Linked DNA regions of Arabidopsis thaliana. The protein of the gene in region 2 interacts with the protein of the main gene of each other region in a pairwise test. Each region holds a gene or a part of one and is shown on either strand. Other genes may lie near its edges.

Region 1 (5,445 bases), on a different chromosome or scaffold from region 2:
GAAGTCTTCCGTTTATTATGAACCACACAAATGGTTTTAAGCAAGAAAAATATCTACGAGTAAGATCAATTTTGTTATGTGTAGAGATTATCATTTGTAACTTTATGTATTAATACAATTGCACGTAAAGCTTGACCTTCTAATAGAAATAAATTTGATAGGAAAAAATCTCTAATACCAATTGCAATTTTTTTGTTGTTGTAATATTGCAGTAAGCTCTCTCATTTAAGCCTTTGAACAAAAAATAAAATAAATATCAGATTTATTGTTGAGTTTCGCGTTGGTATTTCAAGAAAAGAATATGGTCTTTGGCTTTTGACCAAAAAAAAAAAAAGAATATGGTCTTTGGCTCTTTGCGACGCCTATATGCATATATGATATTTGTATGACTATAGACTCATAGTTAATTTATTTTCTATTCCATTTTAACTTATCAGTGTCACTAATCAAAGCTATTATTAAACGGTCTATTTTAAAACAAACCATTTTGTCTATATGCTATTTCATATACGACGATTATAATCGCTTCTTTAGAACTAATAGCCAATAATAATGTATATTTCGACTGTTCACCATACACCGCCACCTAATTCTTCTAAAACATTTCAATTCATTGACTAAATATCGTCATTATTTTGCTTACACATTTTGTATATGTTCCTCCAAATTTGTTCACTAGAGTTTTCAACTAGAACAAAACAACTACTCTGTTGGTGAAAGAATGAATATGCATGTGTGAAGTTTATTGCTCAATATGGATATAGAAGATGAAAAGAAAAAGAGTAAATTGATTTCTTTACCAAAACGTGTCCAGATGTTATGTCAATATGTAATTCTGACATGACCAGAACTTCTGTAACGCATTTAACAATCACTTCCGAAAATAACAAAAACAAAATTCAGGAAAGATGATGAAATTGTAAAAGACAGACTGTAATGGCGTCTATTGAGACAATGACTCAATCTGTCTTAAACCGGAAAGTTGACTCGTAAGCCATATTGATTATCTTTATTAAATTTTCCTTTTTATTCTCTTATTCTCTCGAAGTAGTAACTTTCTTTTGCATCAAATAAAGAAAATATGAAAACGCACCCCTAAAGTTTATCTTATTTTTTTTATTAGTGCCTCTAGTTTTCTAATGTGTAGAGTCAGTGACACACTTTCTTTTTACTTTATATCAAGATTTGATGATATCATATGATTTTAGACTTCTAATTAAGGTTTTTGTAAAAATTGTCACACTACTTTTTTGAATTCTTTCACTTTTTTTAACAAATGTTATTTAGAAAACATAGTCAATATACAGATCCTAAATGTAGATAAAAATTTACAATTTTGACTAGCAAGATCTGATTTGATATGTTTCTTATATATCAATTTTTACCCTTATTTGTTCCATTTTACTTTGATACTTTTTTTTATAGACAAATTTAGATAATTTTATTTGATAAGTCATAGCATTTATTTTTCTTATTTTTATACCAAAATTTATTATAAATACATTTTTCAAACAACACATATACAACACAAACTGTCATTAAAACCCAAATTTTATATATATATATATACCAAGCTGGTAATAATATGATATGATCGTAATTAGCAAACATGAGATCATGCAATAAAAGACTTAAGACAAAAAAATGTGCCACGCTGGTAATGCAAATTTTGTCGTGGTGTGTAGATAAACAAAAGTTTCAGACTTAAATCAAACATACATAAACGTTAAGGGTCTTACTTGCAAATTTGAGTTTTACCGGTAAAAAAAAGAGTAACAGGAAACGTAAAAAGAAGAAGAAGAACGCTCAATGGAGAAAAAACGTGTCCCGAAGTGGCAAATCACGCGACGAGTCTCTTCTTCTTCTTCTTCTTCATGCGTTTTCTCCTTCCTTCTTAAAAGCTCTCTTCTTCCTCCTCCTCTTTTACCAATACATCTATTAACTCTCTCTTCCCTCTTCATCAAGTTTCTCGAGGAGAGTGAAGAATTTGGTTTTAATTATTCTTTGATTACCCTTTTTGTGGTGTGGTTTTCGTTATTTCGAGGAGTGATAATAATACCGTTATGAGTCATCACTTTACATGTGTTTGATCAATTACTCTTAATTCACTTTCTGGGTTTCTTCCTTTGAATCTCTCCTCAAAGAAAAGAAAAGAAAAATGAAGGAGGAACAAACAAGATCTCTGTTTGGAATCTCTTTGTCTGATAAACCAACTTGGCAACAGTTTCTCATTTGCACTTCTGGTTTCTTTTTTGGTTATCTCGTTAACGGTGTTTGCGAGGTTCGTTTCTCTCTTTTTTGCAATTTGATTCGAGAATTTTGATACATAATCAATCAACGTTAATGTTTTTGTTTGTTCTTTGTCATAATTCCACATACCCAGCTCCTGAATCTCGTAAATTTATAATTTTTTTGCATTTTCAATCTCTTGCATGCTAAGTGTTTGATGTTTTGTTTCTGAGAGAAAAAAAAACAGAGGAAGAAGAAAAAATTGCATGACGAACTAAACTCTCTCCAAACTTGTGAGAGATCACAAAAAATCTGTGATCTTTGTAAAGAAAACAGATTTTAGAGAATGTGATTGGATCTACAAGTACTCATATATGATCATTGACTTGATTTATTTTTCTTTGGTTTTGCAGGAATATGTTTATAATCGTCTTCAATTTAGGTAAAAGTCAACTTTTGATTACTCTTTTAAGTTTTAGATTTGAACAAAAGTTAACAATGGGATTTTGCTCTGTCTTTGTAGCTTTGGGTGGTATTTCACGTTTATACAAGGATTTGTCTACTTGTTTCTAATCTACCTTCAAGGCTTTACCACAAAGCATATAGTTAATCCGATGAGAACTTATGTCAAACTCTCTGCTGTTCTCATGGGTTCACATGGTTTAACCAAAGGATCTTTGGCTTATCTCAATTATCCAGCTCAAATCATGTTCAAATCCACCAAGGTAATAGATCCACATTTCCCAATTACAGTCTCAATGAGTTTAAATTGAGTTTAAAGAATGATCGGAATGACCATCTTTCGGATGTTTTAGGTGTTACCGGTGATGATAATGGGAGCGTTTATACCCGGTCTTAGAAGAAAATACCCAGTCCATGAATACATTTCAGCGTTCTTGCTTGTTCTTGGTTTGATCCTATTCACATTAGCCGATGCGCAAATGTCTCCAAATTTCAGTATGATTGGGATTATGATGATAACCGGTGCATTGATCATGGATGCTTTCTTGGGTAATCTGCAAGAAGCTATCTTCACAATGAATCCTGAGACAACTCAGGCAAGGAAACTAAAGAAAACACGGTTCTTTCGGTTTTCCTTTACCGGTCTGTTTTGTTTCGTTTCTGAGATTAACTCTTGTTATGTGTGTTGTGCAGATGGAGATGCTTTTCTGCTCAACAGTTGTTGGATTACCGTTCTTGTTCGTTCCCATGGTTTTAACCGGAGAGGTTTTTCGTGCGTGGACTGCGTGTGCACAAGTAAGTAAACAACCTCTGTTCTCTTTTTTCTGGTTTGACTTTTGGTCAACCTTTAACCAAACCAAGTTAACCTTATGAGATAGTCGTCCATTTTAAGTGAAAGTGACAAAGAGTGGAACCTTTTATTTGGCTTTGAAAGTACTTCTATAGATTTGACTCGGTTTATGATTCAAACCGGAGTTGGACTCAGTTTAGAGAAAAAGTCAAAATTTGTAGGATTCTTGGTACCACGAAATGAGAGAGATCATTGACCGACGACGTGCCTCTGAATCTGCCAAACTTTTTAAAAGCCAAATTGTCTCTTTTAAATTCATTGATTCCATAACTTAAGTACCAACGTGGAATATTTTATAGTCAAACGGTTTAATGATTCATTGGTTGACATATTTAAAACCAATTGTGCTTTGTTTATATTTGCAGCATCCGTATGTGTATGGAGTGCTTGTATTTGAAGCCATGGCCACATTTATCGGTCAAGTCTCCGTTCTCTCGCTTATTGCTCTCTTTGGAGCCGCCACAACTGCCTTGGTAAATATCTAATCTTATCTTTGAATACTCATTTGTATTTTAATTGACTCAATGGTCTAAAATCACATTTCGTTGTGTGTAGATAACAACGGCTAGGAAAGGGGTTACATTGTTGCTGTCGTATTTGATATTCACAAAGCCGTTAACGGAACAGCACGGATCAGGCTTGCTGTTGATAGCAATGGGGATTGTATTGAAGATGGTTCCAATGGATAGTAAAGCTCCGGCCAAGATTCCGGCGAGACCAGCGGTTAGGATCGCAGGAGGCGATGGTGATAGAGAAGAGGACGAAGAAAGGAAGTCATTGGTTTGAGAATGTGCCATGTATTTATATATATTTTATCTCACAAATTCAAAGGGTTTATAGAATAATGTTGGATGAAGGAGACACAAAATAGAGTTAAAGTTGTGTCAGAGACTTGTTATTAGATTCTAAAGTGAAATTGCAAAAGATTGAGCTGTTAAATTGTTAACTATGATATGAATTATTTTTGTCATCACTCTCAGAAGAAAGCATTATTCGTCTCAAAGCCTATTCATAAAGCGGGAAACGCTAATGACTACATTCTAAACGACAGGATCAGTGAAGAACCTGATTCTATCTAAGATCCTCCAGTTTCTTTCTCTGATCTATGAATAACAAACTTATCGACAATCTTTACGGTGTTGACAGGATCCTGCTGCAATGTTGTTGCACACCATTTGCTTGGAAACCTTCTGTGATGACTCATTTTCACAGTCGATCTCGGCTCTGCATCCCAGTCCTTGTCCAGCTTCCATTCCTTTGGCACCTGTACTCATTCATCACATACACTCCTCTGTTTAATTCTATAATCACAAACTTTTTCTTTTGTCATTTCGAGAGTTGTTTTTCTCACCTTGTCTACTCCGAGAGTGAAGACTTCAAGGTCTCCATCAGGTTTGATGTTGGAAACGGGTGAATGATTTGTTAATTGGCGATCCGAAGTGAAGAAAATGCTTCATCAAAGTGTATGTGAAGCCAGTTGATGGATATATATAAGTAACTTCCAAAAACCAAAGATACAACAGGGGTTGAGAAGAACCCAAAAGTAGAGGAACACAGAAGCATAATAGATGGCTTGCTCCGCTTCGAGAAAGTGACTCCCATTCCTTTCTCGACAGATGTTAGTCCGTGTAACCGCCATCACCTATGTCAAATACTTTACTTTCGGCTGAAAAATAGTTTTCTATTTCAGCTAAAACGAAGGCTAAGTTGACGATTTTACCTCGGGAATATCAAATGCTGACATAAGATACTTGATGCAGGCAGGATATAATCCGAACGTCCACTGCTCAATACGGTCTCGGAGGCCAGTAGGGTCCGGAAAATGTTCATTTTCTACTGATTTGTACCACTGATACAATGTATGATACCCTGTGTAGCAAAAAGTTTGAAAATCTCAAAATCCA
Region 2 (5,502 bases):
GCGATCCTCGTTGTTAATCAAGCAATTCTCTTACTGTTATAACATTAAGAATAAGCTATAAGCATCGGGATCCAAAATTTCAGACACAGCTAACAAATTGCTTAGTTCACGCCTAAATATTCGATTAGCCACGAGATATAACAACATTTTTCTTTTTAAAACACGAGATTTAACAATATATGTTAATTTTAATTTATAACCTTTATTACATTAGAATCTCGAGTTAAGATTGTTGAATCAGATCGGAGGAATCTAAGATGTCATAAAGCGCACCACATGCATCAGCTCATTTGTCTTATTCCAAAACAAGTAAGTATACACAGGCATATTCATATGTTGTATATTAATGTATATATGTAGGATGTAACAAATAAACAAGTATCGTTATAGTGAAATTCATCTTCCAAAAGTTACTAGATTCTTGTTTAGCAAAAACAAAAAAGTTACTAGATTCTTGGGTTGGTTACGAAAAAAATAAAATTGGGTCACTTTTGTTGCATCATTTCATAAAGCAGGCTACTTTACATATGTTTTCAGATCTCTATTCCATTTAATATATTTGAAATTTTCAGAAATTAATCAATATCCGATATACAGTATAACCTCTATTTGGGACTGCAAAATTTTATTAATTTAGAGAGGTATTAATTTATTGATAAATTAATATTTATTAATTTATAGAGAGATTTTCTTAATTTGGTAACTTTTTAAAAAAATTTATAAGATTTTTTTCATTATAAAAAATATATTTCTAGAACCAGTTACAAATAAAACATAATAATAATGTCTAGAAAACATTATTAAACAAATAACAAAAGTTTTGGTATAGTAAAATATGAAAACTATAATCAAACAAATAACAAATATGAATTTAAACAAAAAATTATTATAAATATATTTTAAAGAAATTTTTTACATATAATATATATATATAGTTGATATATTTATACAATTATTAATTTATGATATCGATGAGACCATATATTTACATAGAACTTTCCAAAAAATTATTATCTTATTAATTTATCGATTTGTGTCATTTTTTACACTAGTCCCAACTCGGGACCGGAAGAATTTATTAATTTATAAAGGTTATTAATTTATAGAGGTTATACTGTAGTAAGAAGTCCGTTCTATAAGAAAAGTAACAACCCAAACTTCCAAAAATCTGTACAAAATGAAGTTGAATTACAATTATCACCTGGTGTATAGTTAGAGCTTTTATTGTTTTAATATCAAACTGAAAGAAAAAAAAAATTGTTTCAGACAACTAAATTATTGGCTAGGGCCAATTAGGCTGTAAATTTACATATCAACTTTGATTAACTTTTCTTTTTGTAAACTTGTTTAAAACCGTTTTTTTCCATTGATTGATTAATCGAGTAATTAATTTATTTTATTTCATCTAAAACATAAATAATGAACCGTTGTGCAACCTAATTTTTTTTGTGATCGAGCGGGTTGACTAGATGAGTTAGGTTGAATTTAGAAATATTTACTTTTACATGTAAGCTAACGGTATATAAATTCTGAATTGAAACGTAGGATCAGTTTTAAATATGCGACTAAACTCCGTTGAATATCAAATATAGGATTAACTGAGGGTCATACTATAATTTCACGTGAAATACAATTCTAACAATCGTTACAATGTTTTTTAAAAGAGCTTTTATTTCACAAGATGCAAATTGCAATACTATATAAATATAATAAACTGAAGATAAGCGCACTATCCTTCTTATCATTATGATGGTGTGATTTCTACTCTTTACGTTCCATTTTTTTGGTTCACCCAACTACCAAATTTGGGATCCTCCAAATTCTATGCCAAAGACATAATGTTTTTTTTTTCTTTGTGTTTAATAGACATATTGTTAAGATTAAAAACCTATTATAGTGGGCAATTCAATTTTTCCCACCTTTGCCTTTGTCTGAAGAAAGTGTCTTCTTTTAGGCCACTTTTTCATTTTTTTTTTTTTTTGGACTGACATAGTTGGCAATGTGTTGGAAAGAGACAATCTAAGATGTCATATTTTTTTCTTCTTGGGTCCAAAATGTTTTATGAAACCCATGTTGCCTCACAAAGAATGTTTTTGGCAAACACTATCTATTTTTACAATAGACTTCCATAAGATAAACCTATTGCCAAACCTACTCCCATTACAAAACTAACGAGTATAAATTTAAATAACTTATTGAATTATTTTTGGAATTAATCATATTGTCACTTTTATTGTAGAAACCCTATGTCTCACCATAAAACAAAGGCAGGCAAAGTAAAGTATTATCTCTAAATTATAAATTAATAATTATTCGTCGCCTACTTGGTCCCATTTCTCAATTCTTCATCTCTATATCTATCCCCACATTTCATTGCATTGATTCTCTTACAAGCACTTTCTCCCTCAGTCTTTATCTCCCTCTTTCTCTCTTCTCCATGTCTAACATGTTTAGCAGAATTGCCATGACCAACTCTATCGTTCTTCTTCTATTTTCCTTGACTTTCTTAGGTATCGTTTTTGAATAATTGCTTATTTCTGTCTACCAACAAACAAAATTCATTATCTCAATTTCAGTTTGTCATTACACTTTAATTATTTAAATTTCTCTTACATTTTTTTCACAGAACATGGATTGTTGTTTCAAAGGGTCTCCTCTCTTGGCATCAACTATGGTCAAGTCGGCGACAATCTTCCTCCACCGGACAAAGTTCTACAACTCTTGAGTTCACTCCATATCAATAAGACAAGAATCTATGACACAAACCCTCGAGTGTTAACCTCATTTGCCAATTCCAATATCGAGCTCTTTGTCACCGTCGAAAATGAAATGCTTCCCAGCTTAGTAGACCCTCAACAAGCTCTCCAATGGGTCACTACCCGTATCAAACCCTACTTTCCGGCCACCAAGATCGGTGGTATCGCCGTCGGCAACGAACTATACACTGACGATGACTCAAGCCTTATAGGGTTTGTTACATACATCCCCTCATTCCTATAAATTGTTATCCTTTTCAAATCTTGGTCCATTACAAATATGCCCTACTAACCAAATCATGGTAGTCATGTGGGTATCATCCTGAGATCCTCTAGTTCAAAAAAAGAAGAAAGTATTCAACCTCGTTATTGCTATGATTCGCAGGTATCTTATGCCTGCAATGATGAGCATTCATGGGGCTTTGGTCCAAACCGGACTAGACAAGTACATTCAAGTATCGACTCCGAACTCACTATCCGTCCTTCAAGAATCTTACCCTCCATCCGCCGGATGTTTTAGGCCGGAAGTAGCTGGCGTAATGACACAGCTACTAGGTTTCTTGCGTAACACGAATTCCCCCTTCTGGATCAACGCTTACCCTTACTTCGCTTACAAGGATTCCCCAACAAAGATCCCATTAGACTACGTCCTCTTCAACCCTAACCCTGGAATGGTTGACCCCTATACCAAGTACCGCTATGACAACATGCTCTACGCTCAAGTAGACGCTGTGATCTTTGCCATGGCGAGGCTTGGCTTCAAAGACATCGAAGTTGGGGTCTCGGAGACTGGATGGCCGTCTAAAGGCGATGGAGATGAGGTTGGAGCCACTGTGGCCAACGCAGCCGTTTATAACAAAAATATTCTAAGGAGACAACTTCAAAATGAAGGAACGCCATTGAGACCAAACTTGAGTTTTGATGTTTATCTATTTGCTCTTTTCAATGAAGACCTTAAACCAGGACCAACCTCTGAGAGGAATTATGGATTGTATCAGCCTGATGAGACCATGACTTACAATGTAGGTTTATTATCGTCGTCATCATTAACATCAACATCAACTACTTCTTCAACTTCTATTATTTCCCTCACTTCCTCTGCCTCCACGGTATGTATCAACATTTAACTTTACTTGCTCTGTTTCTACTAGATCTCTTACTTCCATATTTCTTTCTTTTTAATCTTTATATAGCACATTAAATCCCTTGAAAAAAGCTTTGATTGAGAAACATTTTTAAAACAAATTCTGACCTGTTGTCTAAAAAAGAAGAGAATTGTGACGTTTCTTTCTTCTAATTGTGACGTTTTATACTTGAAAAGTTCGGCTTTTCTAGAACATATTCTTACCAAACATATTTATTTTAACATATTTCTTGATTAATAGCGATAAAGTATACATTTTTTTTGGAGCGATATGATTAGTACATGATATTTATGATTATCCTCACCATCTGATTTTTAGATACATATTAGTTAATTAAAAATTTGCGGTCTTAATTATTGCTTATTATGATATTTTAATTTAAACAGGCTTTAAAGAAGGGAAAGCAACGGTTGATGTATTGGACATGCGTTTATTTGTTGGCCATTCACATGCTAATTAGAAGATCGTACTAGAAGCAAAAACAAATTGAGAGAGCTTCTAAGTGTAAATAGAGAGTCCACTAATGCGGTCCAATTTTTCAACGAGAAGAATTAAATTATTCTCGAAAGTGTCTCAGATGATTCTTTAAAAGGGGAAAAAAACACTCAGAAAAATTGAGAAGGGAATGCAGTACTGCAAAGCGAATCCTATGTATAAAAAACTGACGATTCATATTATAGAACTTTATTTGTATTTGTCTTACTAACGTGTTAATTACTTTCGTTGTCTAAATAAAAAGTGACTAAAATTAATCATCAACTGATAAGGTATACAATAATGATTCGTATACAATAATGATTCATGAATCATATAAGAACGATCGTGTTTATTGTTTAAATCCAAAGGATACAATTTCATTTGAGGCATTTTAGTAACCACATTCATTGCATAATTTCATTTAAAATGTTTGATTTCACATTATGTACTACATATGAATCATATTTCAGAAAGCTAAAGAAATTACTCTAGATATAAAGAAGACCCCATATAGTACTACTTTTACGAGAAGCATAGAATATAATAATAATTATTACTAAGCAGAAAATATTGTCATTTTCAACGCTCCAAATATTACTTTAAAGTACATGATATATAATGTTATCATCAGATATCGTTTAACAGAAACAGAAAAAAAGAAAGATGATATCATATATTTTATATAGAAATTTATTGATTGGTCACACCGAAGGTGAAGGCTCTTTTATCTTTTACCTTTTATCTTTTGGACGTGGAATCCATAAACCTTAGACATACGATACCTTCCTTTTCCATCTCACCGTCAACATTCGATATTTTAATATATTGTCTGCTCTTACACATGCATGCATTATATCTGCATGTATATGTGGTATGGCTTCGTACGTGCACACACATGACACTACTCATACATGCATACATGACACATCTTACATGTATGAATATGTGTATATGTCATATGTGTGGTGGATACTCATTAATTCACCAATTGATGTAAAAGAGGAATGCTCCATTTTTCTAACGGGAGAGAAAGAAGAAGTTAAAAATTATCAAAACAAAACTAAAGTTTATTTATTAGGAGGAAGCATATAAATTGATATGGACGGTTCCAACTTTATTCCACG
Region 3 (5,296 bases), on a different chromosome or scaffold from region 2:
AAATGTAAGGTAAATAAATATTTTGAATTTTACTCACTTATTTATAATATAAATAAATAAACGTAAATTAACATAATTTTGCAAATTTTTAGTATTAGTGAAAATTTAGTTGATTTTTCTTTTTGTATTAGTTCCCTTTTTTTAACGGTTTGTATTAGTTCAAATACCAGCAATATTTATGCTCTCTATTATAAAAGCTCAACTTACAACTATAAAATAAGAATAGGATTTATGAATAGATCATAATAGTATTGGTCTTCATCTTTTTAAAACTATCCACATAAACAATAGTAATGAATCTCACTAGATAGTAGTAGTGTATAGTTTGGGTAAAATACATTTTAGAGTAGATTACTGCATATTGGTTTTGTCGAGGATGATTTTCCGGTTCAACAAATTCTGTTATATGCAAGCATAATCAACCACATCTTCTTTATGAAGAGATCCTCTCCCGTTAAATCACCGTTTACTTCACACAAACACAATATATGTGTAGTGTACAGATAATTTATTGACCATAAATTCAACTATCCAAGCTTCAAATTTCGTAGGAATATGACATAGTAATCAAGTGGTGGTGAGAAAATTACTGAGAGACCTACGAATCCTAGAAACATAATTTTCGTAACTCCTAAGTGAAAATCATCATCATAAACTCAGACTTTGAAAGTCAACTTTGAAATATAATTTTCAGAAAATTATATCCGTTTGATGATTACCCCCAAAATCTCTTTGGATGATCATCAAGCAAGACATCATCTTCTGAATCTCTGATGTAAGATTATGGACCTATGTTCAATTTCTAATCATTGTTTCTCTATTTTTATATATAAATCAAATGAATTTTGGCGTGTTGACATTGGACAATATAGTTTAGGTTAGACTTGGGGATGTAGATCATCCTTCTTCCTGTCCCTCCTAGGATAGCAAGAGAATCATTAGGGATAATACCGGAAAAAAATGGACAATTAGCCAACACTAATTTTGGAGACTTGAACCAATTATTATTATTATTATATATTTACAAGGAAAAAACTACATAAACTATCAAGAAACATTAGCTTGCAGTAAAAGACCATAATTCCAATATTGTGTCAAAAAATAGATTCTAAGACATGATGATATATAAAAAAAAACTTGGAGAAGTGTCAATTCCACAAACAATAGCCAAGCCAACACGGACAATCGTTGGTACTATCGTTGTACATGAGAGGCTTTGTTAAAGGAAAGAGAAGTAAGACGAACCCAACCACACCGCCTAAGAACGCTGCACTCACCAAACCTGAGAGAAGAACCATAACCATGTTTAGCTTATTCTTTTGCATTTGCATTTGTTAACAACCTTGAACTTTATGTCTTACCTTTTCCATTTGCGTATAGCACAGGCAATCCCATGTAGTTGCAAAATATATGAGCAAACAAAGGAGCAGCAAGATGTCCTGTAAAATTTACACAATGCAGGAGACAATCATCCATTAGAAAGGCTTTTACATGTATAAGATATATAAATGCCTGGAATGTTACCGGTTCTGATGAAGAGAAACGATGCATATGCACCAAAAATGACTGTGTAGCCAAGCTGAAGACCTGATCAACGGACAAGTGAAGCTCAGGACTGATCAACAAACAATATTATTATGATTATGGATGGCAAAGACATACCAACAATAAGTGAAGCCCGGAGATAGCTGCGGTTATGCCTGATGTACATCTCTCTAAAATGGTTTAAGTGAGCTACACAAAACATATAAAAGTCAGACAAATCCAGTAATTTTCTTTTCACTCGAGTTGTAAACTGTTATTCACAGAGAGAGAGAGAGAGAGAAAGAAACAAACCCAAGCTAAAGAGAACTGGGCACAGAAAGATGGCAGTGTTAATCCTAAACCCAGCACACAGAAGCAAAGGTATCATACATGATCGGAAAACCAGCTCCTCAGTTACTGGTGCCTGCAAATCATAAGAAACGCCAGCTCTAACAGATTATAACTTGTTCGATTTAGAACTTACTTATACACCAAACTGATGCATATAGTCCTCAGACAATTAGCAAGCAATGCCTTATGCAATTTCAATAAAGAATTGACAAGATAAGCACACAGAGATGGCAAACATATGATTACCACGATAAAATTGCGCCAAACGGAAACATTAGAAGCACTTGTCAATACCGAAGCAGGGATTGTTTGGAAAAAGCTTCTGATGTAATTAAAGGAACTACATCCTCCGCCATTTTCCTTCCATGATTCCAGGAGAGTAAACAACTTCAACACCAAAGACCCAGCATAAACGAGCGAGGTCAATAGAAGAGGATACACCACTCCTTGCCACTGTTCCATATCACAAAACATAACCATTTTAATATGAATAGTGTACAATAAGCTACGAGTAAACAAATTGAGACAAAGAACTTACCAGATGATCTTTCCTTATGCCATAAACTCCAAGTATATAAGAGGCCTCCCAGCTTTTTATCTAACATTACTCAAGCAAAAAAGGAAGACAAGTTTCAGAGATTCCTGTAACTAGCGTTGAATTGTACCAAACACAACATAGTCACCAATATTTGAGTGTTACATTCTTAGAGACAAATTGTGTGAACCTACAACAACTAGTAAAAGCTAATTCAACTCTCAACAAAGTTACAAATACATCAAATTTCTTTACTTTTAGTTTAACTTTCATCAAAACACCAAATGCATCTAGATTTGGACCTAATTTGGTTACAGATCAACGGAGAATGAACTTCAAATCGAGAAATGGCGGTACTCAAAGAAGCTTACCGGAAGTATAAAAGCTGTGAAGACGAGAGATGCTACAGTACAAATGGCCGCGCAGATGAATCGCCGAATCATGAATTCGGTGTAAGAAGAAGCCGACGGGAGACGGAGTATCACGGTGGGAACGTAAAGGATCAAAACGTAGAATAGTGCCATCGCGACGCAGGTAGCCACCGCCAACGACATCGAGATACTCTCGCCATCGGTGGCCATAATCGTTGAGGAAGCTCCGGCGAAGAAATATACCGGCTAATAAGTGTCGAAGTCACCGCTGGTTAAATCTTAGTCCGGCGGTCTTCTAATCTTTAACCAATTACATCGTGCCACGTTATAGACTAAAACGGATGACTACTGGGCCGAACAGACCCATTGGGCCAATTTCGTTTATAAAAGAGGGTATAACGGTAATATCATCAGAAGATATACGTCACCATGCCAGTTTCGAAGAAGCCTATTGGTTATATTTCGTCATTAACTAGACGGAATGACGAAACTACCCTCAGATGCCTTCTTCTAAAGTTGTCTCTTCACTGTCAAGAAGAAGAAGAGAACAAAAAAAAGAAAGGAATTTTCTCTGAAACGTCACGAACGTGTGAATTGGGTTAAAAAATTCATCTCATTGATCCAAACTTGAAACCCTAATTTCGAATCTCTTTGCTGATTTGGTGAGATCTCAATTTCGGAAAGAAGATGACGAAGGATTTCGCAGTTCCACCTGTAGTTTTCCCCTCCGGTGGATCTTCAGGCGGTGCTAATGTCCAGCAACGAAGATTCCCAGCGACACCGTTTCAACCGCCGCGTCCCTCTTCTTCCGCAATCCCTTTCATGTCATTCGACATTGGATCCGCAGCCGCGTCTTCCGCTACACCTGCCGGACCATTCGGCGGGACAATCGCTTCCTCTTCTTCTTTTGGTGGAGGTTCAGCTTCGTTTGAAGATGAGGAGCCATTACTCGACGAGCTCGGTATCCATCCAGATCAAATCTGGAAGAAGACTAGATCGATTCTCAATCCTTTTCGGATTAACCAAGCTGTTCACAAAGATTCAGATCTATCTGGTCCGATCTTTCTGTACCTTGCGCTTTGCTTATTTCAGTTGTTAGCTGGTAAGATCCAGTTCGGTGTCATACTTGGATGGATCGTCGTCTCCTCTATCTTTCTATACGTCGTCTTTAACATGCTTGCTGGTAGAAATGGGAACCTTAATCTCCATACGTGTACGAGCTTGGTCGGATACTGTTTGCTTCCGGTGGTGGTTTTATCGGCGGTGTCATTGTTCGTTCCCCAGGGAGCAGGGCCGGTTCGGTTTGTGCTTGCGGCTTTGTTTGTGTTGTGGTCCACTAGAGCCTGCTCTACATTGGTGGTATCTCTTGCTGATGGTGGAGAAGAGCACCGTGGCTTGATCGCGTACGCTTGTTTCTTGATCTATACTCTCTTCTCTCTTCTTGTTATATTTTGATTCCATATTGATAGATCGTGAATCACTTCCGATGCTGTGTTAGCAAGTAGCAAAAAAAGGCTGCAATATAAGTTCTTTGATGTGAGGTTGAATTGGGTGGGAATAGCACGGTGTGTAAAGGCTTTTTTGGATAAATTTAGAAAGGTGTTTAAGAAATTTGATTCAATGTTTGTATCTGTCACTTGATCTTTAAGGTTCTTACTTAAGAATTATTTATACAATTTGGTCGATATGTCTTTTGACATAGTTTGTTCCTGGACATTAGATTTGTGAGAGTATTGGAATTGATGTTGCGGATGATATGCTTCTGTACTAATGCAGAAGAGGTTTATATGCTTCCTATTTCATGTTTATTTTGCTATTTACTTTCCCGGTGTGAGGCTATGAAGATGTGCTGACTTCTTGCTTGGATTATACTTAAAGGTCCCAAGTTTTAGGAATGATTGGCATTAGATTTGCTTAAAGTATGGCTCCATGTAGGTAGAGTAGAATTTTGAGTTGGTTTTAGAGCTGTTGGAAACTTAGGCATAGTCTAATGAAAGAGTGATTAGTATTTAGTGGTTTGCTCGGTGTTGGTATGTTCCCTGATTAGGTGGCATAGATAAGTAGGGACATGGGATCTTGGCTTCAGGTTCGTCTTCTACTGTCAATCCCAGAACTGCACTTACTTTTCCTGATAGTATTTGCTGTGTCACGGAAATTAGAGAGAGATTTATCCGCAATTCATACTCTCTTAGATGGAATTTGTTTTAATGTGTCGAGAAGAATCAGCTATGTCCAATTGAGTGAGCATAGTATTTGTCAGCTTTACCTTCTCCTAAAACATTCAGTAGAACTGGTGTTAGAAATGATCTCTATATTTTCGTGTTGCAACACTCGTTCCGAGGGAACCATTTTTGTGTTCCACCTTTTCTTTAGAATCCAAATTGACTCAAAGGGGAGTAGGCAATTGTTTTAAACATACAATGTAAAGATGTAAAATTTCTGATATATCTGGTGGATGTACTTAAGACATACCCTACAATTTCGATCCTTGGACTCAATTGAAACCAAACTTTTA

What was found.
Region 1: the proteins of AT1G30080 (region 2) and UTR2 interact in a protein complementation assay, tested with the Arabidopsis thaliana proteins (one large-scale study listed by BioGRID).
Region 3: the proteins of AT1G30080 (region 2) and FACE2 interact in a protein complementation assay, tested with the Arabidopsis thaliana proteins (one large-scale study listed by BioGRID).

What each region holds. Positions count from the first base shown.
Region 1 is NC_003075.7:12,059,200-12,064,644, reverse strand, and holds UTR2 (UDP-galactose transporter 2), read left to right. Parts: upstream 1-1,786; 5' UTR 1,787-2,158; coding exon 2,159-2,281; intron 2,282-2,642; coding exon 2,643-2,671; intron 2,672-2,752; coding exon 2,753-2,954; intron 2,955-3,044; coding exon 3,045-3,287; coding exon of another isoform or gene 3,288-3,310; intron 3,311-3,356; coding exon of another isoform or gene 3,357-3,384; coding exon 3,385-3,486; intron 3,487-3,569; coding exon 3,570-3,710; intron 3,711-3,906; coding exon 3,907-4,014; intron 4,015-4,062; coding exon of another isoform or gene 4,063-4,096; coding exon 4,097-4,327; coding exon of another isoform or gene 4,328-4,338; 3' UTR 4,339-4,461; downstream 4,462-5,445. Other genes in the region: AT4G23015 (uncharacterized protein), read right to left, coding at 4,063-4,338; AT4G23000 (Calcineurin-like metallo-phosphoesterase superfamily protein), read right to left, coding at 4,998-5,183, 5,262-5,410.
Region 2 is NC_003070.9:10,550,103-10,555,604, reverse strand, and holds AT1G30080 (Glycosyl hydrolase superfamily protein), read left to right. Parts: upstream 1-2,309; 5' UTR 2,310-2,437; coding exon 2,438-2,510; intron 2,511-2,626; coding exon 2,627-2,969; intron 2,970-3,141; coding exon 3,142-3,865; coding exon of another isoform or gene 3,866-3,883; exon of another isoform or gene 3,884-4,287; coding exon 4,288-4,374; 3' UTR 4,375-4,750; downstream 4,751-5,502.
Region 3 is NC_003071.7:15,212,302-15,217,597, reverse strand, and holds FACE2 (farnesylated protein-converting enzyme 2), read right to left. Parts: upstream 3,213-5,296; 5' UTR 2,992-3,212; coding exon 2,782-2,991; intron 2,474-2,781; coding exon 2,414-2,473; intron 2,329-2,413; coding exon 2,122-2,328; intron 1,949-2,121; coding exon 1,837-1,948; intron 1,735-1,836; coding exon 1,663-1,734; intron 1,588-1,662; coding exon 1,525-1,587; coding exon of another isoform or gene 1,469-1,524; exon of another isoform or gene 1,440-1,468; coding exon 1,362-1,439; intron 1,283-1,361; coding exon 1,149-1,282; 3' UTR 985-1,148; downstream 1-984. Other genes in the region: AT2G36300 (Integral membrane Yip1 family protein), read left to right, coding at 3,469-4,236. UniProt on the Arabidopsis thaliana protein: Protease involved in the processing of a variety of prenylated proteins containing the C-terminal CAAX motif, where C is a cysteine modified with an isoprenoid lipid, A is an aliphatic amino acid and X is any C-terminal amino acid.